Struthio camelus: one gene and its partners. The protein of the gene in region 3 interacts with the protein of the main gene of each other region in a pairwise test. Links are inferred from orthologs where the notes say so. Each region holds a gene or a part of one and is shown on either strand. Other genes may lie near its edges.

What was found.
Region 1: the proteins of RNF185 (region 3) and YIPF2 interact in binary tests that used the Homo sapiens proteins (3 or more experiments, as listed by UniProt). The two-hybrid records come from large-scale screens. The link is inferred for Struthio camelus from reciprocal best matches to the Homo sapiens genes RNF185 and YIPF2.
Region 2: the proteins of RNF185 (region 3) and UBE2K interact in binary tests that used the Homo sapiens proteins (3 or more experiments, as listed by UniProt). The link is inferred for Struthio camelus from reciprocal best matches to the Homo sapiens genes RNF185 and UBE2K.

The regions. Positions count from the first base shown.
Region 1 is NC_090972.1:4,658,865-4,666,160, reverse strand, and holds the start of YIPF2 (protein YIPF2), read right to left. Parts: upstream 3,091-7,296; 5' UTR 3,004-3,090; intron 1,657-3,003; 5' UTR 1,643-1,656; coding exon 1,612-1,642; intron 1,503-1,611; coding exon 1,390-1,502; intron 1,302-1,389; coding exon 1,221-1,301; intron 1,144-1,220; coding exon 1,056-1,143; intron 966-1,055; coding exon 849-965; intron 757-848; coding exon 590-756; intron 520-589; coding exon 337-519; intron 247-336; coding exon 122-246; intron 22-121; coding exon 9-21; 3' UTR 1-8. Other genes in the region: TIMM29 (mitochondrial import inner membrane translocase subunit Tim29), read left to right, coding at 3,236-3,338, 4,121-4,755.
Region 2 is NC_090945.1:61,646,610-61,654,054, forward strand, and holds the start of UBE2K (ubiquitin-conjugating enzyme E2 K), read right to left. Parts: upstream 3,044-7,445; 5' UTR 2,715-3,043; coding exon 2,652-2,714; intron 2,049-2,651; exon of another isoform or gene 1,932-2,048; intron 1-1,931. UniProt on the Homo sapiens protein: Accepts ubiquitin from the E1 complex and catalyzes its covalent attachment to other proteins. In vitro, in the presence or in the absence of BRCA1-BARD1 E3 ubiquitin-protein ligase complex, catalyzes the synthesis of 'Lys-48'-linked polyubiquitin chains.
Region 3 is NC_090958.1:8,167,272-8,174,846, reverse strand, and holds the start of RNF185 (E3 ubiquitin-protein ligase RNF185), read right to left. Parts: upstream 3,048-7,575; 5' UTR 2,898-3,047; intron 1,315-2,897; exon of another isoform or gene 1,202-1,314; intron 1-1,201. Other genes in the region: C17H12orf43 (protein CUSTOS), read left to right, coding at 4,694-4,859, 5,170-5,215, 6,122-6,220, 6,869-6,942, 7,284-7,374. UniProt on the Homo sapiens protein: E3 ubiquitin-protein ligase that regulates selective mitochondrial autophagy by mediating 'Lys-63'-linked polyubiquitination of BNIP1.

The DNA of each region.
Region 1 (7,296 bases), on a different chromosome or scaffold from region 3:
GAGCCGCGTCACTGCCTCGAGCTGCGGGAAGAGCCGAGGGCCAGGCGAGGGTTTGGCCCCCCACCGGGGCCGTCCGCATCGAGCCGGGGGCTGCCTGCCCCGCTCGGGGTCCCCCTCTTACCTCGCCGGCTGGGAGAGGTTGGCGAAGTGGTGGGGCGCGCGGCTGTGGTGGGGCTCGGTCCCCAGCGTGGCGTGGAGCGGCGAGGGGGCCGGGCCGGCGCCCGGCGGCCGCTGGAAAAAATAAAGCTGGGAGGGAGAAAAAATAAAAGGAGGGAATGAGTGGGGGGGTCCGGCGTCCCCAGAGCGGCGCTCCCCCCGGCCCGCGGCGAGCGGTACCTTGCAGCAGACGGCGAGCAGGGCGTGCAGGGCGACGACGGCGGCCAGCAGGGCCAGGGCGGCCGCCCGGCCCTCGGCCCGCACCAGCGGCCAGAAGGTGAGCGCCAGCACCGAGGCCGAGAGCAGCGCGGCCACGGCCAGCAGCAGCCACTGCAGCCAGGCGGCCGGGATCAGCCACAGCACCTGCGGGGACGGCGGCGGCGTCAGCTCCGCTGGGGGACGCGGCCCCACCGCCGCCGCCCCGGGGACTCACCGCTGTGGGGATGTAGACGAAGAGCGAGTAGCCGTAGACGCAGACCGTCTCCAGGAAGCTGTAGGAGCTGCCGCGCGCCCCGGGGCCCCGCCGCCACCGCAGGTAGCCCCAGAGCGCCAGCGGCACCAGCCAGGCGTAGCAGTAGACGACGGTGGCGGCGATGGTGACTGCGGAGGGGACGGGACGGGGACAATGAAGGCAAAGCCCGGGCTGCCCCGTCCCCTTCCCCGCGTCCCCCCGCCAGCCCGGGGCCTCGCACCTTTGTGGAACTGGGGGCTGTAGTGGAAGGAGGGGGACGCCTGCTTCTCCGGCAGGTGGGACAAGTTGCCGCTGATGGCCAGGGCGAACACGAGGGTGGCGCAGATCCAGAAGGGCCCTGGGGAGGGGAAAGCGGGTGGGCGGTCGGCGAGGGGCCGGCCCCGGGGCGCCGGCAGGCGCCCGGCCAGCGGCAGCTCTGCCCTCTCACCGTACAGGTCGGGGTTGTTCCGCAAGCGGTGGCGCACAAAGTTCTTCCCCGGCAGCGGCGTCACGGAGCCCTTGATCCTGTCCAGCACCTGCCGGCGGGCGACGGCGTCTCAGAGGCGGCGGGCGCCGAGGAGCCGGGCCGTCCGGCCGCCGCGACCGCCGCTACCTGGTGGGTGTCGACGTCGAAGAAAGCCTGGTAATACTCGAAGGTCCAGAAGCTGCGCGGCTGCTGCTGCCCGCCCAGGAGCTGCGGGCGGAGGAAGGGCCGTGAGCGCGGGGCCGCGGCCGGGGGCCTCCGCTCCCCGTGGTGCCGGCGGCGGCGGCGGCTGCGTCACCTCGGCGCTGTCGGCGTCGGCCCCCGGCTCGCCCTCCTCGCAGCCGGGCCCCAGCTCCACGGCCGCGTGGCTCGGCCGCTCGCCCGCCGGCGGCTCCGCCGCCTCCTCGAGCTCTGCGCGGTGACGGTCGGCGTCAGGCGGCCGCGAGGGGCCCGGCGCCGCGGCGGGGGGGGCCGCGGCGGGGGGGCCCCGGCTCTGCCCCGACGTCGCGCCGGGACTCACCGTGAAACCGCAGCTCGGCGGACGCCGCCATGGCGGGGTCTCTCGCTGCGGGAGCGAGACGTGAGGCGGTTGGGGCGCCCCCCCCCCCCCACCAGCACCGGGACCCCCCCCCGGACCCCCCCCAGCATCCCAGGCCCAGTATCCCCAGGGCCCCCTCTGGCACCGGGACCCCCCCCCGGGCATCCCGGGCCCAGTATCCCCAGGACCCCCCAGCACCAGGACCCCCGGGACCCCCCCCGGAACCCTCCCGGCATCTCGGGCCTGGTATCCCCAGGGACCCCCCCAGTACCCCCCAGCATCCCGGGCCCAGTATCCCCAGGACCCCTCAGGCCCCCCCAGCACCGGGACCCCCCCGGACCCCCCCCAGCATCCCAGGCCCAGTATCCCCAGGGCCCCCTCTGGCACTGGGACCCCCCCACCGGCATCCCGGGCCCAGTATCCCCAGGACCCCCCAGCACCAGGACCCCCGGGACCCCCCCCCGGTACCCTCCCGGCATCTCGGGCCTGGTATCCCCAGGGACCCCCCAGCACCCGGACCCCCGGGACTCCCCCAGGACCCCGCAGCCCCCCCCGGCACCAGGACCCCCGGGACCCCCCCAGGACCCCCCAGCACCCCCCGGCACCAGGACCCCCGGGACCCCCCCCCGGAGCTCCCCCGGCATCCCGGGCCCGGTATCCCCAGGACCCCCCGGCACCGGGACCCCCGAGACCCCCCCCCAACATCCCGGGCCCGGTATCCCCAGGACCCCCCAGCACCAGGACCCCCGGGACCCTCCCCGGTACCCTCCCGGCATCTCGGGCCTGGTATCCCCAGGGACCCCCCTAGTACCCCCCAGCATCCCGGGCCCAGTATCCCCAGGACCCCTCAGGCCCCCCCAGCACCGGGACCCCCGGGACCCCCCCGGACCCCCCCCAGCATCCCAGGCCCAGTATCCCCAGGGCCCCCTCTGGCACCGGGACCGGCCCCCCCACCGGCATCCCGGGCCCAGTATCCCCAGGACCCCCCCCCCGGTACCCTCCCGGCATCTCGGGCTTGGTATCTCCAGGGACCCCCCAGCACCCCCCGGCACCAGGACCCCCGGGACCCCCCCAGGACCCCGCAGCCCCCCCCGGCACCAGGACCCCCGGGACCCCCCCCCCGGAGCTCCCCCGGCATCCCGGGCCCGGTATCCCCAGGATCCCCCCGGCACTGGGGCCTCCGGGACCCCCCTCCAGCATCCCGCGACTCCCAGGACCCCCCGGGACCGGCACCGCCTGGGTCAGGACCCGCCAGCCCCGCCGTGGGGCTGCACCGGGACCCCCATAACCCCCCCCGGGGACTCCTGGGCCTGGACCGGGACCCCCCGGCTCCTCCCGGTCCCCCCCCACCCCGGTTCCCCCCCCCCCCGGTACCCGGCCCGGCCCCGCGGACGTGGCTCCCCCCCCCCGCCGCCGCCGCCGCGATGGTTCCGCCCGGTCCGTCCCCGTGTCCGGCCCCCCCGGCCCCGCCCCCCCGCCGCGATGGTTCCGCCCGGTCCGTCCCCGTGTCCGGCCCCCCCGGCCCCGCCCCCCCGCCGTCATGGTTCCGCCCGGTCCGTCCCCGTGTCCGTCCCGGCCGGAGCCACTTCCGGCGCCGCTCGCGGCCATGGCGGCGGCGGGGGAGGCGGCGGCCCCGGCCCCGGCCCCGGCCCCGGCCCCGGCCCGGGGGAGCGGCGGGCTCTGGGCGCGCATCGCGGGGAGCCGCGCCGGTGAGGGCCGGGCTGGGGGGGTCCAAGGGGGCCCCGGACTCCTGGGACCTTTGGAGGGGGGGATTGGGGGGGTCCCCGGACTCCTGGGCCCATTGAAGGGGGGGGTTGGGGGGGGTCTGCCCGGACTCCTGGGCCCATTGAAGGGGGGGGTTGGGGGGGTCCCCGGACTCCTGGGCCCATTGAAGAGGGGGCTGGGGGGGGCTGCCCGGACTCCTGGGCCCATTGAAGGGGGGGGTTGGGGGGGGTCTGCCCGGACTCCTGGGCCCATTGAAGGGGGGGGTTGGGGGGGTCCCCGGACTCCTGGGCCCATTGAAGAGGGGGCTGGGGGGGGCTGCCCGGACTCCTGGGCCCATTGAAGGGGGGGGTTGGGGGGGTCCCCGGACTCCTGGGCCCATTGAAGAGGGGGCTGGGGGGGGCTGCCCAGACTCCTGGGCCCATTGAAGAGGGGGCTGGGGGGGGGCTGCCCGGACTCCTGGGCCCATTAAAGAGGGGGCTGGGGGGGGCTGCCCGGACTCCTGGGCCCATTGAAGAGGGGGCTGGGGGGCTGCCCGGACTCCTGGGCCCATTAAAGGGGGGGTTGGGGGGGCTGCCCGGACTCCTGGGCCCATTGAAGAGGGGGCTGGGGGGCTGCCCGGACTCCTGGGCCCATTAAAGGGGGGGTTGGGGGGGCTGCCCGGACTCCTGGGCCCATTGAAGAGGGGGTTATGGTGGTCCCCGGACTCCTGGGCCCAGGCTGGGGCAGGGGGGGCAGCCCCCTCCCCGCTGACGGCGCCTGGGCGCAGGGCGCTGGTGGCGGGCGCTGCTGCAGGACTACGCGGAGGCGGCGCGGGAGGCGGCGCGGGGGGCTCGGCGCCGGCCCGGCCGGGCTGCGGGCTGCCTGGCCCTGCTGGCCGGGGCGGCCGCCTGCGGCGCCGCCGTCCCCGGCGCCGGCTCCTTCGAGGCGGCTCTGCTGGAGGCCGCCGGCTCCCTGCTGCTCCTCTCGCCGTGGATCCGCAGCGGCGTCGCCGAGGGGCACGTGCAGCGCCTGCTGCGGCTGCGGGACCGGGGCCAGCTGCGCTACCGGAACCTCGTCTTCTTCGCCCTGGTCTACGAGGCGCCTTTCGACGCCCAGGCCGGCCTCTACCTGGCGCAGTGCCGCTACCTGCAGCCCCGCTGGCGCGAGCTCCCGGCCCGCGTCCTCGACGTGGGCTTCTGGGGACGCTGGTGGGTTCTGCGCGCCAAGATGAGGGACTGCGACATCAACGAGGAGGAGTTCAGGTTCCTGCCCGAGCACCTCCGCGCCGTCTCCTTCCACCACCTCCACTCCGAGGCCAACGAGAAGCTCTTCGAGGAGCGGTACCAGCCCGTCGTCCTGACGGAGGAGCAAATCGAGCGAGCGGAGAAGGAGCCGCCGCCGCCGGGCGCCGCGGGCCGGTGACTGAGCGACGCAGCGGCCGTTCGGCGCCGCTCAATAAAGGCGGCGGATGTCTCGACGCGCGCCGCCGCCTCCTTCGTGCCGCCTCGGCGGGGACGGCGCTTGGCGGGGCGAATGCGGCGCCCGGCGGCGGGAAGCGTCTCGGCCCCGCGCCCTCCGCCTCCATCCCTGCGCCGCTCCCGCGGGATGCGGCAGAGGGTGCTGCCGAGCTGCGAGACCTCCGCGTCCCGGCCCCGGCCGGCCGCGTCGCCGCCTGCCCCCCACCCGCCGCGGGCAGGGGGGCGCGGGGTCCCGCCGGCGAGGGTCTCGGGCGGCTCGCGCTCGCAGGAAACCTCCCTGCGGGACGCGGCCGAACCCCTCTTCCCCCCCCTAGGGAAACGCAGGGCGACGCTCGCACCGACCGCGCGCTGCGGGCGTTCGCCCCGGGCTGGGTTTGGGGCCTCGCTAGCGGCCCGGCGTCTCTCCGACGCCCCCCCGGGCTCCCCAGCGACCCCCTAACTATCGATTAACCCTTTATTGCGGCATCTGTCGTTCGCGCGTTGACTCCTCGTGGGATTATTCACGGCCGGTATCCAGCACAGAGCGCGGCTGCGCGTTTGCCGCCGCGGCCGGGATGTTTTAGATCGGGGTTTGCTGCCGCCGAGTATCGGGGTAAATCCGCGCCGGAGCGGTTCCCCAGCGAGGGTTTCCCTCCTCCGCCGCTCGCGGCGGCGCTTCTCCCCGTCTTCGCGGCGCTGCGCTCGCCCCCGTTAAGACGAAGGTGGTTTTAACGGGGTCCGACGTTGCCACCGAGACGGCGGCGCCCACCGCTCTTAACTGCGATCGCGCCTGCCGTTATCCCGGGGAGGGGGGGGGGAAGAGCGGGGAGGAATTAATTTGTCGGGAACGCCCGGAATTGGGGCGTTTCGGGGGGGGAAGCGGAGTTTGCAAGGCGCCGTCTCGCTCTAAGGGCCCCGCCGCCCGTTCCCGCGCTCGGATTTGGGGGCGGCTCCCGGGAAATGAATCCCCGGGAAATTCGACGGCGCGTCGGCCCCGCGGAAGCGGCCGGTGGCCTCGGTCCAACCTCGGAGTCGCGTCCTGGCTTAATTAACGGCCTTGCCAGGAAACGCTAATCACAGCTGGAGCGGGGGCTCGCGCCGAGGGAGTGCGGCGCCGGGCGTTCAGTTTGCCCCTCGGCTTAATTGTTTCTCGGCGTTTCGTTATTTCCCGTTTGCGTCGGCCTCCGGCTCCGTCGCTCCCCTTCCCCGATTTCGGCTTTTCCCGCGCGCTTCGCCCTAAGGGGTGCGTTTCCTTTTCCGAAGCTCGGCCGGCCGGCGTCCTCCCCGCGATCCAGCCCGTCTCCCCTTAAAGCCAGCTCCGGGTCGGGACCGGCTCGGTCCCGCGCGTCGCATGATGCCGACGGCTCCCGTCCGCGTCCAGCAACTCCCTTCCAAAAAGAAAAAAGGAAAAAATCCGTATTTTGGCAAGCGCGTCTTAAAACAGCCACAACCCAGCCCCGATTCGGCGCGATTTGTTTGGGGAACGGCACGCCGGGCGCTCGGCCGCGCTCGATTTCTTGTCGTACGTTCGCAGGCGCTTTTCCGCAGACTTTGGCCTCTCCGTCGGGCGCCCGGGGCTCGGCAACGGGTTTGGTCTTAACGAGCAGAAAGCTCGTTGGGACGTCGTCGGCCCCGACGCCTCCCGCTCTCTCCCGGGACCGAGGCGTCCCAGGCGCAGACGGGGCGGCCGTGCCGGGCTGGCGGCTCTCCTGCAACGCAGGCTCACGAGCAGGTGTTTTAACACGGTTTTATATATATTTTTTTCCCCCTTTGTTTTACGCTTTCCCTCGCCGGAACGACGGCAAAACCGGCTGGGAAATCCTCACGGAAAATACCGAGCGTTGGCAGCTTTTTCCCGTCGTGCAAGCGCAGTGGGTTTTGAGTCTCCCCGCTTCTGCGCGGCGCCGTTCTTAGCCGCGAGCTTGTTTCCCCGCGGGGCGATCGTCCGCTTGGCGGGGTTTCGCTTCGAAATCCCTCCCTCCTCAGGGAGCCGGGCTGTCGCCCCCGATCCCGTAGCGGTCGGCCGGCCGCCAGGGCCGGGGAGGAGGAGGAAAAGGAAGAAAACCGACGGGCGCTGAAGGGGTCGGGCTGGCGGCGGCGCCGCATCGGTCCTGCGCCGACGGCAGCTCTGTGGCTTCAGGAGGGCAGGGAAAAACGCACATCTCCCACGTCGCCGTCAGCGGCTCCGCTTCGTTTATGCTCCTTTTAATTAAGAGTAGGATTTGAGACCTCCCCCCCCCCCGTTTTGTTTTTTTTTAACATCTCGAGCAAGGGCTTCAGCCCTCTCGGTGAAGGAAGGAGAGCGATTTTTGCTGCGAGACAGCAGAAATCAGCGGTCGCCCTTGCTGCAGCGAAAGCTAATTTTGGGGGGCGAAGCGAAGGGATCGCAAGGCGTTTGGCTCGCTCGGGAGTTTGCGGCCCGGAGGGGGCGTTCCGTGGCGATTTGTGCAGGTAAAACGTGGAAGTTCGGAGCTAGCTCCAAAACACGAGCCCCCTTTTTGGGAAG
Region 2 (7,445 bases), on a different chromosome or scaffold from region 3:
TAAATCCTAGTCCAGAGAGCATTCCTGACAAAGAAATTGCTGCTGGTCTCACCTATTTATAGTTCAAATATTTAAGAGACACAAAGTTACAAGGACCTTTATTGAATGCTCAATAGCTGAGTCCTTAAGTTAAGGTGTGAGAGAGCTTATAGTAAAACTGGAAATAATAAAGCCAGTAGAGTAAAAATGCTTCCATTTCTCAAGTCTGAAAGGATTTTAAATGCTTTTTCAAAAATCACCCTGTTTCAGTCCACAGATGAATATGGGAAAAACACACAGAGCAAAGTCTGTATGTGTTCCTTTCAAGCACCAAAAAATGCTATTTCTGCCCATATTGGATCTGCAGAGAAACAAACTGGCACTGCTCTTTATGTTCAGCTGTAGTTCAAAGCCTCAAATAAGAATAATCTAAGTGCATGTAACGTGAGCTACTTTGCCTTCAGAAACGGACTGAAATTTCTATATAACAAATTTAGCATCACTTATTCATGACACAGAAAATTTTTAAGAACAAGGGTCAAGAACTGCTTAATTACACAAAACATGTAGGAAAAAAGACTTCTTCAATTTGTAGTATTTAGTTATCCCTCCATTCACCATCTCACTCCACATGTTTTTATGCTCAGTGGTACTAACACCATAGCTTGACTGGCTTTGAAAGTACAAACATCCACAACAGACTTGCTTGTAACATAGAGAACCACAGATAAATGCCTAAATCACGTACTCAAGATAGGGGAGATAGTAGTATCTACAAAAATGCTGTTTACAATATGTGCTATGTCAGTATTCTACTCATATGTAGCTTGATAATGGCAGAAAAAGACGACACATGAAACTCTTAAAAATGCTTTAATTTCAAAATTTCATAATTTTAAAGTTTCATAAGAATTGTGGCCTTATCATATCTGAAAGATGTTGTCTAGCTTAAGAACTATTTTATAATATTATTTATTTCCAACACTCTATACTGATCCCCTCCAATGCGTAGACTAAACAATCAGGAAAGGAGAAAAATGTGCTCTCTGGACCCAACCTTTACTGTAAGGAAATTCAGGACGGATCTCACCACAGAATTGCATAGGTTGTTTCTCTTTTTCCTACATAAAGTAAGGTGAAAGGGACTTGAACCCTTTAGATAGTACCTTCAAATGCAGATACAAATGTTGTTCCCACAGTATAAAGTTATATGGAGTACTGGTTTTGGACTCTAATTCTGGCACAAAGATGGCCACCTAGAAATTTGTCTTAGTTTACACCTAATTGTGTAATCACTGTGCAAGAGCTTAGCAAAAACAGCCTGGGCTCCAAAGGTAGCTGTAAAACAAGGCCCTTACGTTTTTATAGAGGCTAGTTCAAGCTGCATAGCAACAATGCTGTTAGCACACTTAATTTAAAAGCGCATCAACTACAGCAATGGCATCTTTTCTGTGAGGTATTAGTATCTTCAAAAAATTACTGTCCTCTTGATTTTCTTCTGCGAATGTGTCCAGATTTCTAAAACACTAGCTTTAAGAGTTACACGTTCACATTAATATTTCACAGGCATCTAACCTGCAACATCATCCCAAGTAGGACGACAATGACGACACAACTATTAAAACCTATCTGGTTGTCATTCGCCAACTCAGATCCAGACACAGCAAGAATTGTACTGATGCAACCCTGCAAAAGCTGCTACATATTCCCAATAACAGATCAAAACTTCTTTTAATATTTTGCCCAAGGTAGTAGTCAGCTCCTCTCGTTGACCACCACATACCTCTCGATAACATGAGCTGCTTCAGAGAGACACTATTTAGAAAGCCAGAAAACGAGAGAACAAGAATTAAATGAGTATGGTTTTAAAACCATCCACGTTAAGGTGAGTTAACCTACACTGGGATAAAGGAAGTTCTGGATTAAAGTAACCTAGATAAAAAGGGACTTACCTGCAACCTTTTAAAAAATAAAACACACACTCCGCAGTCTCTGGCTGACCAGAGAGGTGAGTTAAGGGGGATGTGTGTGACCACGCATCCTGCACCTCGGCCTCACCGATGCACCTCGCTGCCTCCGGGCCGCCAGGGCCGCGTGCGGCGATGCGTGCCGCGGCACCCGCGCGGGCGAGGGTCGCGGGAGCGCCGCGCGTGGGAGGCCCCACCCCGCAGCGCCCGGCCTGGCAGCGGGCTCCGCCGCCTCGGCCGCCCACAGCCCGCCCAGGGCGGAGGGAGCCGCCGCCGCCGCCGCCGGGGGCTGCCCGGCCCGGCCCCCGGCCCTCGCTCCCCGCCGCCGCCGCCGCGCTTCCTGCCGCTGGCAGGCCGGGCCCCGCTCCCCCTCGGGCCTCCGGCGGCTCCCGCTGCCCGCGGGGGGAGGGGCTCGGCGGCCCCCTCCTCCCCCCGCCGCGGCTGGCGGGTCCCGTCTCCCCGGGAATCGCCATTCCCCTCCCCGAGGCCGCGGGCCGGGCCCACCCCCAGCGCGGGGAGGTGGGGCCGAGGGGGAAGCGGGGTCCCGGCGCAGCCCGGCGGGGAGCCCGCACCTTCCCCCGCTGCCCGCACTCCCATACACACACACACACACACACACACACACATACATACATACATACATACATACGCGCACGCACACACGGCGGAGGGTGGCGGCGCCAGGGGAGGGGGAGAGGCTCTGACCTCCTCGCTCTTCAGCACCTCCTTGAACTCCCGCTTGATCCTCTGCACCGCGATGTTAGCCATCTCCGCAGCGGGCACCGACCCGCACCCACTCGCCGCTGCCTCCGCGCCGGGCCCAGCGAGCTCCGCCGCCGCCGCTCTCGCTGGATAACTCCCGGCCCCACCAAAATGGCGCCCGCGCCGAGCATGCGCGCTGCGGCACCCGGCTCTGCCGCTGCCGCCGCCGCCGCTCAGGAGGGGCCGCCGTGTGCGCGGAGCGGAGCGGAGCGGTGCGGGCGCCGAGGCTCCCCGGCGGCGGATGGGGGGCGGGCGCCGGCCGCCGGGGAGAGCGCGAGGGAGGACGGTGCGCGCCGCGCCAACCGCCGCCTCGCAGCCCCTTCCTGCCCGCTGTCCCCGCGGGGCGGCTGCCGCCTCCGTCCGCCGCCGGCCCCAGGGAGGTGCCGGCCGCTCGTCCTGACCCGGGCAGGGCTCGTTTCCTGCGGCGGCGGCTAACGCGGGAGCAGCGCTGGGCCGGCAGAGCCCTTGCGCCGCCCCCCCGCCGGCGGGCCCCGCGCCGCGGCGGAGCTGGGTGGCGGCGGTGCGGTGACACGGCCCCGCCGCCGCCCCCCGCGCAGGAAGCGCCGGCCTCTGCGAGCTGCTCACGCGTCCTCTCCCGCAGCGCCTGGGCAGAGCTAGCCGGGGGGGGGGCTTTCCTCAGCCGAGGGACTCCGTTCACCCCCCTCCCTCTCCCCCCCTTTTTGGGGGGGGGTTAAACGGCAGTACTCTGCGTCTCCCCTGGCTGCGATCCCGCCCTCGAGAGGCTGCTGCCCCTCAGCGGGGACGGAGGGGGCCAGGCCGGGCGGCGGGGAGGCCGCTCGCCCCGCTCCTGCTGCAAGGCGTCGGGAGGCGGGGAGGAGGCGGCGGCTCAGGGCCGCCTAACGGGCTGCTGCGCTTTATTGCAGAAGCAAGCACTGCAAGGCACAGATAACAGAAGACAGAAATAGGTGCCCGTAACCATCCCCGCTTGCCCGAGGAGGGCAAAATGTGGTATGTTATGGGAGAGCGCAGACAGATTTTCAGAAGGGAGTATGAGGTTGCGTTTACGACTGTTGTTCGTTTGGGAAACTAGAGGCTTTCCAGGCTTCAAGGTCTACAGAAACGCTTTACAGGGCCTCCCCTAATAGTACAGTGTAGGGCTGTGTACGGCATAAACGCTTATCCCAACAGGGAGCATTTCTGATTCTTGGGAACCTGACTGTAGTGGCTTATGGTTGGGACTTGTCTGCTCGTGCTGTGGCTGTCCTCTGCAAACACTTCATTTATCTCCAGTGATGCACACAACATTTTCACTGTTATATAAACATTAAAGAAAGTATAGGCCCAATTGATTAAAAAAAAAATCTGGCAGCTGTTTACAGATGCATATATATTTTTTCTCTGTGTATTTACTATTCCCCTGTGATTTGACTGGGAAAAGTCCATTCTCCTGGAACAGTGTTGTATCATGTGCATCTGGCTCATAGAGTCAGCTCTTTCTTTGTATCAAAGCTTGTTTTTGACACAATATGCATTTGACGCAACGTTTTTCCAGTTTTTATTACCTTTCTGAAAAGAACCATTTTGCATTAAGTCTGATTTCTTTTTAATGACTTCCAGTGTAATCTTGGGCCTTCAGCTTCAAAATAATTTAGACAGCTAAGTCCCACTGACGTGCCTAAGTTCCTTTGAGGAGGTAGGCCATAGCTTCGCTATGCCTTAGGTTCCCACCTGTAACATAAGGGTAATAATTCTTATCTGCCATAATAATTCTTATCTGACTCGGAGAGCTCATAACTGAAAGTTAGGTTTATGGTATGCTCAGCTCCCGTTGCATACTATAGGCAAAAATTATAAATGCAGTACATAAAATCCCTGAGTTAAATGCCTTATATCTTTTCAGACAGCCCACGGTAGTAAGAAGCTGAGCTTCTAAATATGCAGAACTTGCTCTGAATGGAGTCGAAAACATGACCTTTATCAAGTGTCAGCATTCTTTGTGTTCCTGTGAGCGTGCTTGTATGTTATAGGTAGTAGACATCCAGTAATAGCCCCAGTAAAGTAAAGGGCAGTGATTTTGCCTGGTTTGTATCTGGGTTCATTTCCATGTGCTCATTTGGATTACAGATGTCAGAGTCTGTTACTGCAAAAAGCAAATCAAATTAATGTGAGTGCCTGTATCTGTTTTCCTTACTATGTTCTTCTCATTTCCTTTATCCTTATATACGCATCTTTCACTTATTTCACGATTGTTTCATATTCATCATATGCTTCACTGGCCCTCCGTTTTAGTTGTCCTTTTTCTGTTCATTTTCTCTCTGGTAAAATAAGGAGAATGTAGGAAGGCTTTTTGGAGAGTAGAAAGAAGTGGTGGTAAGTCCTACCACAATTAGAGTACTGCATGTAATCAGTACCTGATGTAATGAGTATGCTGGGGCTGTCATATTATAGCTTTTATAATATTTTATAGTTTACTATATTACAGAAAACTCTACCTTATTTTAAGCCAGAACAGGACCATAGACTAGCAGTTTCCAAATAATTTTTTTTGGTAGGATAAGAAAAATGCTTAGAAAGAAAACTGCTGAGAAGTAAAATGAGAACATACTCAGCCTCTTCTTGTGATTTCAATGACTTCGCATGTCTGACTTCATAATATACTGTATAGTGTGCTGATAATACTGTTCTGTGTATAACCTCTGAATTAAGTTCTCATTAGTCTTCCACCCTTAGAGAAATCCATATGCAAAATATGAAACAGAAGTTAGTCCTTTGAACATAGCTCATTTTTTGTATTATGAAATCCTGTACTATGTCTTATTTCAAGAGATAGTTCTTCTATTAATCCCATCATCGATTTAGGTTCATAGCAAACAGTTCCTTCAATAACAGCTTTCACAAACTGGCCACAAATCGGTCTATACTTTTGCATGTTGGTGTTGATCATAACTAATAGACTGGGAGGCACAATTCCAGGTATCCATACTTTATTCAGTATGTTTGCTATATTGCTTTGAAATATTTCTAGAACGGGGTGCAGGAAAGTTGGTGAATTAATGGAGGTTCTGACTCCATAAAGTTATTTCAGGAGGAATGTTTAGAGTCAGTTGTCTATAAACTAAGATCGGTGATCTTAAGGCATCACCTGAGGCCCTCAGTACGAAAGGACTGACAATATTCATCACCTCTGCTGGTATAACCAAACATCCTAAACAATGTTTTGTTTCCTGTATTAGATGGTTCAGCCCTACAACCTGTACGTAGGAAATAGTTTTCCCCCTCATTTTCATGGGAAAGTGGCTATTGTACGTGGACAAATTGCATGGGTATGTTGGACTCACTTGCTGCGTATACAATAAAGTCACTGTGTTTATGGTTCTTCTGACTGAGAGTATGGGCGCCCCCCAACCCTAGCGCACTGCCTGGGGGGGCTTCAAAATATTTGTGACAGCACCAGGTAAGATTAAATTTCTGTTCTTCAAATGGTTATTCTTAGAGATGTCTTTATCATTTTCACATTTTTCTATTTTTATTCTCTTTATATCAGTAGGATATTTTTCTGTTAGAATTACTCAGAATTTGGAATTATTTTGTTCCCTCTGATCAGAAGAAGAAAGTGCCGTTTCTGAAACTGTAACTTTCCAGCATGCAACGTTCTGTTCCTTCTTTTGCTGTATCTTCTTTGTGTCTTGCATAACAAGACTATTTCTTCCCCTCATCTTGGCCTCTTTAGTTTAGAAAAATCAGAAATGTCAGGTTTGATCTTCTCTCGTTGTTGCTGGAGGACTTCTTCTAGGACAGCAGAGCTGTCTCAGGAGATTTGTATGGTGATTTCAAACACTTCAGAAGCAAAGGTTGAATCTGTTACATATTTCTTGTTATTGGTTTTTTATCTTCATGAGCCATCCATAGAAGGATTAACCTTACAGGCAGTATTAGTAGTAGATGGTATTCACTTTTCATTTAAATGTTAATATGCTCATTTATAACATGCTTTATTAAAAAAAAAAAGTGACAAAGGAGAAGCCCGAAATATTCAAAAAACTAAGATGTTCTTAAATTTAACCCTTTTTTCCCACCTACCTTACACACTACATCTCTCTTGTTGTCATCCCAAATTTTTAACAGAGAGGTCTGTGTGCCAGAAATTGTCTTTATATACATATCACTTCGCACATTTTGGAGACTGTGAAAATAGATTTAGCCTGCATGATTATTGTCTGTCATGTTGTGTTTCTGTGTGGCAGCGCATCTGGATGACTCAACTCATTCCGAAGATTAGCTTTATCACAAAAATAACTAACTGGTTGTGCAAGTTGACCGAGTTTTAAGTTGTTCTGAACTTTCCTGTTCCTCCTATACGTGTCCACGTCCGGTTTTGTGGACAGGTGTAACAGTGCCCTCTCCTGGATGCAATAGGGCAGATTTGCTTGCTCCTGTGAAAATAGATCCTGCTGCTGGGAAGCTCTTTTGCCTTACAAAGAGCTCACGGCAGTGCTACTGTGTTGTCCAGTCTTTCTTGTTCAGGAGGAGCTTGTAGGAGTTCTGCCATCAGAAACGCTTGAAACAGGAGAACAGAAATTGTTCTGTGTTCCTGATAGAAAGCGGCGGTATTTGTTCAAGCGCTTTCCAAGCTGTATTTTTCATGTCGTTAGCAGCTTGGATATATAAATATATGTGCCGCGGAATACAGCTGGTGTACTCACTAAACATCAGATTCATCTGATGTCATTCGGCTTGAATTCGTATGTTGCAATTCGCCTGACTTAGTGGAGTTAG
Region 3 (7,575 bases):
TTCTAAATCCTTTGCTTTTGTCTGTGGAATACTGTTTAATACAACTAGGACTATAGCAGGCCCTGTAGGGGTGTGTTCATCTGCAAAGCACGCTGCATATACGATGAAGCAAGCATGAAACAGCGTCTGATGACTAAAAGGTGCATTTGATAATTGTACGCTGCATCACTCATGAGCTTAGCCTGTGAATCCTAAAGTAGCAGTTCAACCACAAATTCAATTTGTCCAAGTGTAGAACAAGTTCAAAACTGTAGAAATGTCACCTGAACTACTTTAAACTCAGAGACAAAACTTAAAAAAACAGCAAACCAGGCCAAACGGAGCCCAGTTTCTGTTTGATCTAGAAATCAGAAAAAAGGAAGATTGCAAGTGCCCTGGGACACACCACGACTTTTGGGGTTAAGTAAATAGAACGTAGAGAGGACTGGCTGGACAGATGCCAGTCCAAGTTTGCTAAACCCTCGTCCTTCAGATCAGCTCTTAAATCCAACCTCAGAGGCATGATGAGTGGCAAACAAAACAAGTGAAAGGATATAAAAATCAGTTGAGATCTAATGGCAAGCATGCAAAGATTTTCCTGCCCTTCTTTGTTCTCTAGACATGTATGGGAAAATAATATCTTTGTACTTAAGAGCCATCTATATCTGCTGTTTGTTTCATTTAAGTCATCACCTCCTGTGATATCCCAACAGATTGCTCTGAAAAATGACTACATCGCTGACAACTACTGCATCCAGAGAATCAAGATTGGCAACAAATGAAGTAGTCTGCCTAAATAAAGCGTGCTGGAAGGGATGGAGGGTGAAGAAGGCATGGCAGAGAAGATGTACGTCTAGGGATCCAGCGTGCATCCCACTGTGCTGTCCAAAGAAAAAGTATGGCTGATAGAGCTGGCAAACTTGGACCCCTGAGAAGTAAACGGCACACTGGGACCTGAGCGCTGCGGGACAGCTGCAAGCGCAGGTGGTCCATGAAAGAAGTGGAGGAAATCAGTAAGGACTGTATTAATACAAGTCTCACGAACAAGCAGTGAGAAATAAATTTGAGTAAATATTTTTAAAATTTAAAAAAAGAAAAAAAAAACCATAGAGCTAGTATGAGAAACTGCACAAGAGAAATATGTGAGCCCAATGGATCCTGTAAAAGATGATGTTTCTTAACTTAGCAAGAAAAATTACTACATTTGCCGAAGTACACTGACCTGCCTCTAAAAAACAACAGAAACTTTTCAGGACAGACTGGGACAGCTTCCACCATAAGTTAAACCATGCAAAAAATTCCATTGGAAACACAGCAGGTGAACAGTAATTCAACCTGAGAGAGAGAGAGAGAGAATATAAATTAAAAGCTGATGTCACTCTGTGAGAAACAATTGTGGAATATATGCTCATAGCACTGTAACATTAGAATGTTTGAAAAATTTACTTTGTAATGTTCCTTCATGAGCATGAAGAAAAAAATCTCAGCAAGGCTACAGAACTCTGGCTTGTTTATTCATAAAACATACCTTTTATTTATTTTTGCAATGTCTAATATATAACAATGAAATAAAAAGAACAGCACTGTTGGATTAGAAATTCTACTAGAAAGACACACTCCCATATTTCTTTTGTTAATGAGACGTATCTTATCTGAGATTACGCAAATTGAAACAATCTAGGTCTAGTTTGTGATACAAGTTCTCATTTAGTTTCTGAACTTCTTTCTGTTTAAGTGCGAAGGAAGATTTGTTAGGCTACTTTTCTTATAATTACTGTGACTGTGATTTTCGGATGCAGATATGACAAATTAAAAAAAGAGAAAGTATTAATGTTAGAAGTTTTATCAAATTCTAAGAATATTACCAAGATTTTATATAAACGTACCTAATCATAAGTCTAAGAAAAATCTGATACTTAAAAGTATTCGAGTTGTCTGGACTTCAATTAAGATAATCATTGACAGTGCCTAGAAGAACATTTACTTCTTGATAGTCATTTTAAGATAGATACTCATAGTAAATACATGACTGAAGTCCTACAGTTAATTATTAAACACGCATTTATCTCACCACCTTTTTATTCCATTCAGCCTCCCAAACACGTTACATGTTAACTCCTCCAAACCCTTTTCTGCGAGCACACCTTTCCACTTCCCAGAAACTCCATGCCATCATGCACCTGCTTCTTAGTATTACAGAAAGCGGACCCAACCACAAGCCTGCCCACCGGCTTGATCTGGCGAACGCATCTGTTTTGCTCACGGAGCGACGAGCCGTCGCGCGGCCCCGTTTCGTTAACCGGGATTCTGCAGCGCGCCTGCACCGCGGGCACCGCTTCCAGGACGCGAGGCGCGCGGAGAGGCTGCCCGGGGGACTCGACATGCCTCCCGACACGCTTACAAGCTCTCAAAAAAGCACGGGATTCAGATCGTTCTTTTTCTTTAAACGATTCCATAAAACCTGTATCATAGACTCGAAGAAGAGATGTTATCCTCCTGCCTCAGGAAGTCCAAAGGAAAAAAAGAAATCTGCTATAACCAGCTGGGTGGTATCACCTGAACGTTTTCCTGGTCCGGGGCGTTATGTAAAATATTTGTTAGAATCAAAGGCCCCTAAAGCGGGCTAACCGGGCTGGCACCGAAACGTGCACAAGAGGAGCCCGGCGTGCCGCAAGCAGAGCCAGCGGCCAGCAGCCCGCCGCGCCCGGCCGCCGCCTCGCTCCCCGGCACCGGGGAGGGAAAGGAAAACCGCCCCGGGAACCCCCGCCCGGCCCGGCCCGGCCCGGCCCGCCGCCGCCGCCCGCCTCGCTGACCGCGGCCTGTAACCGCGGCCCGGGCCCGCCCCGCCGCCGCCGCCGCCAGGCCCCGGCCCCCCCGGCCCCTCCGCCGCCAGCCGGCCGCGTCTCGGCGCGTCTCACCGGCGGGTCCCGCCGAGCCACGGAGCCGAGCCACGGAGCCGCGCCGCCCGCCGCCGCCGCCGCCGTCACCTGCTGCCCCGGAAGCCGGGCCCTGACGGGAAGGGACGGGACGGGAAGGGACCGGCCGGCCGCCCCCCTCCGTCGGCGAGGGCTGGCCTGCTGCGGGGGCGCCTCCGGCGGAGGCGGCGGGCGGCGGGCGGCGGGCGCGCCCCTCTCCCCTGGCAGGAGCCGGGCCGAGGCGGGCCGCGGCCTGCCCCGGAGGCAGCCTGGCGGCGGGGCGCAGCCACGGTCCCTCCCGCCCGCGGCGGCGAAGCGGTGCTTCAGTGTTGTCCTCAGGGGAGCAGGTGTAAGGTCAGCCCTTGCCGTTTGGGCCTCGTAGGGTAGCTGAAGCAATCCGAGGAGCAGTTGCTGCCACAGGCGGCACAGCCAGGGGATGTATCCAGCGTTTTATTTACGTTTTAGGTCTCTGAAGAATGGAATGATTTTATTATGCGTTTCTGCAGGGACGTATTTACAGTGTCCCCGTTCCACTTGTAGTGAGTGCTTCCTTTTTAAAGTAGAAGGGATCCAGAGGAAGGCAGTGAATAAGATGAATGGTGGATGAATGGAAAGGATTACGTACAAGAAGATGATGAAAATTTTAATCTTGCTTACAGACAAGGTTCATTGGAGAGGACAGATTTGTTTAAAATAGTAGGTCAGATGGAGAATATGGATGGCACACTCAGATTTTCTCCCACTGCTAAAGCCTAATTGAATTGAATGGCAATAATAAAGGATGCAAGGGAACGCTTGCTTTTTTGAAGCCCATAAATTACTAGCTTTCAAAGAGCTGTATATCACATGTGTAACGGGGACATATCTATATGTGTGAATTTCTTTTTTCTAATGGTGTCATGTATATCATTCTTCAGTGTGGCTGGTAGCTGCTAGAGTTAGAGAACGCTTGTTGTACCGCGGTCGCCAGTTCATTCCCGTTGGCGTACTAGTGCACGTGGATTTCCTCTCTTCTTCAGGGCTGACTGACAAAACTGACAAATATAATGTTGGCATTTCCAGTACGCCCAAAGTGCTTCCTAAAATTCTACTTACGAAGGGGTCGTACATACATCAGGAATCCAAGCCCTCCATTCTTTGTTTTATCCTGCTGTATTCTCAGCCCACTGTTACTCTCATTCAGTGTCAAATCACATTTGAGAAAACCCTTCCTTGACATTTCCGTGCTAAAGAGTTGCTGTCTGTTAGTGGCTTTTTGCCCTCATTTGACAAAAAGGGCCGTTTCGAAGACCGTCTGTTCACTTTGCTCCTCGGTTTCCAACACCACAGCAGAAAGGTGGGAAATCATAGAGCAATTTCTGGCAGGTGACAGGCCGTCTTCTTTCTTTTGTTTTTCCTCCCCCCCCCCGCACTGTATCTCTCAAAACTGCCGCACGTCAAAGGCCCGTGAGCACGCTGAGGTTTGCCTGCCCGCTTGAGTAAAACATCCTTTGAAGCGTCTGGTGTTTGTCATCTGTGAAGGTAAATAACGGAGCTAAAATACTGTACGGAAATCCCCAGGCCTTGGAAGGAAAGGGCCGGGGAGGGTGCTGCGAGTCCGGAGGAGAGCTCCGCGGACAGCCCGGGCAGGCGGCCTCAGGCCGCCGAGCGCACCTTCCCCCAGGCCGCCTTCCGCGCCCGCCGCTCCCGCCCGGCACGACTACAGTCCCCAGCGTGCCTCGCGGCACGACTACACCCCCCAGCGTGCCTTGCGGCCAGACCGCAGCCCCAGCGTGCCTCGCGGCCGGCGCGGCTTCAAGATGGCGGCGCGCAGGGGCGGTTCGCGCCTAGACGCGGGCTCGGGCTCGGACTCGGACAGCAGCGGCGGCAGCGGCAGGGATGCGGCGGCGGCGGCGGCGGAGCGGTTCCAGGAGGCCGCCTGGGACTGCGCCGGGCAGGCGGCGGCGCGGGCGGGGCCGCCTGGCGGTGAGGGGCGGCGGCAGCCGGGCTCTGTCCTCCGGCGGGTTTGGGCCGCGGCCCCCGCGCAGCGTCTCCAGCCCCGGGTCCCCGCGGCGCGGGGGGCTGCGCCGGGCCGGGTCGGGCCGCTTCGGGAGCGCCGCCGGGGCGGGGGGCGGCCCCCGGGTACCGCCGGGCCCCTGGGGAGTTCCTCCTTCCCCCCGCCCCGAGCTGTTTCCCCCTGAAGCTTTGTAGCGTAGCACCACATCTGCGGGAGCAGGATTAACGATGTTGTGGGCACCGGTTTTTCTAACTTGCTTTTGCTTTCTTTCTTTGGCAGGTGGTTTTAGACAGGCTCGTTTGCCGACAGCTCAGCCTAGTCTAAGGTATCTTTGGTTTCAAAATTCTGTTCTAGTGAAGAAAAATTTAACGCAGTAATGTGTCTGTGTTACCTACCGTTAGTGCCTTGGGATGCTCCCTACCGAAAGGCATTGTTCTCTCTCAGAAACTGGGCCAACAGTGACCTGCAACGGTGCTTAAACCCTCCCAAAAGCTAACATTTCTTTAAGTACGTTTCTCATCCCTCTAGCGGCAGGTCCGTGTAGAAGTAGAAAGCTATTAGCACTTTCACGCACAGCCTTAGTTCAGAGTGTCAGACACCTACCACCTTTGTAAGGGCCCTGTGTAGGTGTTAGTACAATTATATGTAATGAAGTTTCTTTTCCTCTTAGAAAGAAAGCATTATACATAGAAAGACCATTTCAAAAAAAGGTTACGGTTGCAAAGCCAGATACTTTTATCAACTAGGAAAACAACACCTGAATTAAATACTTGCCATGAAGGTGATGTTGTCCTACACAGGTTTACAATGTTCCTGTAGATTCTGTGTCTAAGACCTTCTGCCTGGCAACTTAAAATCCTCTCTCCCAGGACAGATGTTGCAAGACCTGTGGCATCTATGCAGTGTACCTCAAAGTTGTTTTCTTCAGGAACCACCTGCAAGCAAAGGGATGTCCTGACATCATATGTTTGCTCTTGTTGTCTCTTTCAGTGTGAAAATCACCCAATTATTAACTGTCCTGGAGATGCCTAAATAGCTTTCGTCTCTCTCTTGGATGCTGAAGTGATGCTGCTGAGCTATTTTGCAGCATTTTAGCAGTCTTCCCTATCAATTAAGTAGGAATAGGTTACTAGAGGCTAGGAGGCTTTTCAGTTGCTTGTCTCCTGTGTGGATGAGAGCAGCAGATCTTATTGGCCTTGAAAGAGATCATCATTGTTCTTATTTTAAACAGGCGCAAGGTGAATGGTCATGATGAGGATGGAAATGAGCTACAGACCACACCAGAATTCAGAGCACATGTCGCAAAGAAACTGGGAGCAATGCTAGACGGGTATTGGCATGTGATATTAAAAGGTTTATTCTGGGGGTAAAGTAGCACTGATGTTTTTGCGTTCTAAAAATGGGAAATTAAAGATTTGAGAGCAATGAGGATATGAAGGACAAATTGTTTATTTGCTTGTCCCCTTCGTTCCTGTATCTACTGCAAGCTTCCACTCTTCTGTGAGCTGACCTGGCCCATGTGCTGTGCTCCTCTTGTACAGGCCTCCTGTGCGGTACAGCCTGTCTCCGTTCACCTCTGTGGTGAACATGTAACAGGGAGCCACTTAAAGGCTGGCATGCGACTCTTTCATTTATTCTTACAATCTAAAATGTTCAGAGTTGTGCTGGCAGCACGCTGTGTTCACAAGCTGCCTCTGACTGTGGGTGCCGCTGTCTTTATTGCGTACACATGGCTCTAAGAACTAGAACTCCTGGTGTTCTGAGTGGGCTTTTTGAAATGTTGCTTGCAAGTCATGCTTATGGCATGTGATGGTAAGAGGTGAAGGCATGGTCTGCTCTGAAAGGGCAAAATGAAACCACTTCACTAGGAAAAAGAAAGAAACTATGTAACATCTCCCTACAGTCTTGTTTCCTAGAAGTATCCAACTTTATCTCAGTTTGGCTGCACAAACCTATCTGACTGTGGTTTTCTGCTTAGTTTTATCACTGTCTTGAAGGATTCATCAGGACCTTCACAAACTTCTGTGCAAGAGTCTGACTCTGGAGATGATGGTGAGTTCTAGTCACAGCCATTGTGGCTCTCTTCGGACATTGTTAATTAATAATAAGTGGCATGGATGCTCTCCAGTGCCAGTTATACACACAACTAATTGCAGAGCGCTTGCAGTGGAAGAATTTGTGTTGATATCACTAAGGACTGGCATGTTGACGTTATGATCTCTGTGCCTTATCTGGTTCCTCTCAGATTTTTTGGCCCAAATAATTGCTGTCTAGCACTTTAGCAATAGGAAGATTAACAGCAGTGAGGCCTCCTAGAGAGACTGCTATTGATTGCTTTCACCTCTGTATTATAGCTTGGCTAAAATTCCCTTTATGCCTTTTGCATATTTTAGGCTTTCGCCTCTTCTCCTCCTCCATCCCAGGAGATTCTGGGAAATCGGAACCTTCTCCTCCAGCAAGGAGGAGACAACCGTCTAGCTCCAGGTGAGGTCCTGTCAGCTGCTTTGCTCCTGAAGTGCTACTATTCTACCTCCGGTTTCAGAGGCAGCTGGGACACTCCCATGGGAATAGAAAGCTGAAGAACTTGAGAAGCATGTTTTTATGACTCTTATGTTGAACTTTAGCAGATTTTTTTTTAAATGCTGGGGAACTAGAAACATTTCTGAGAAATGATCTTACCCTTCC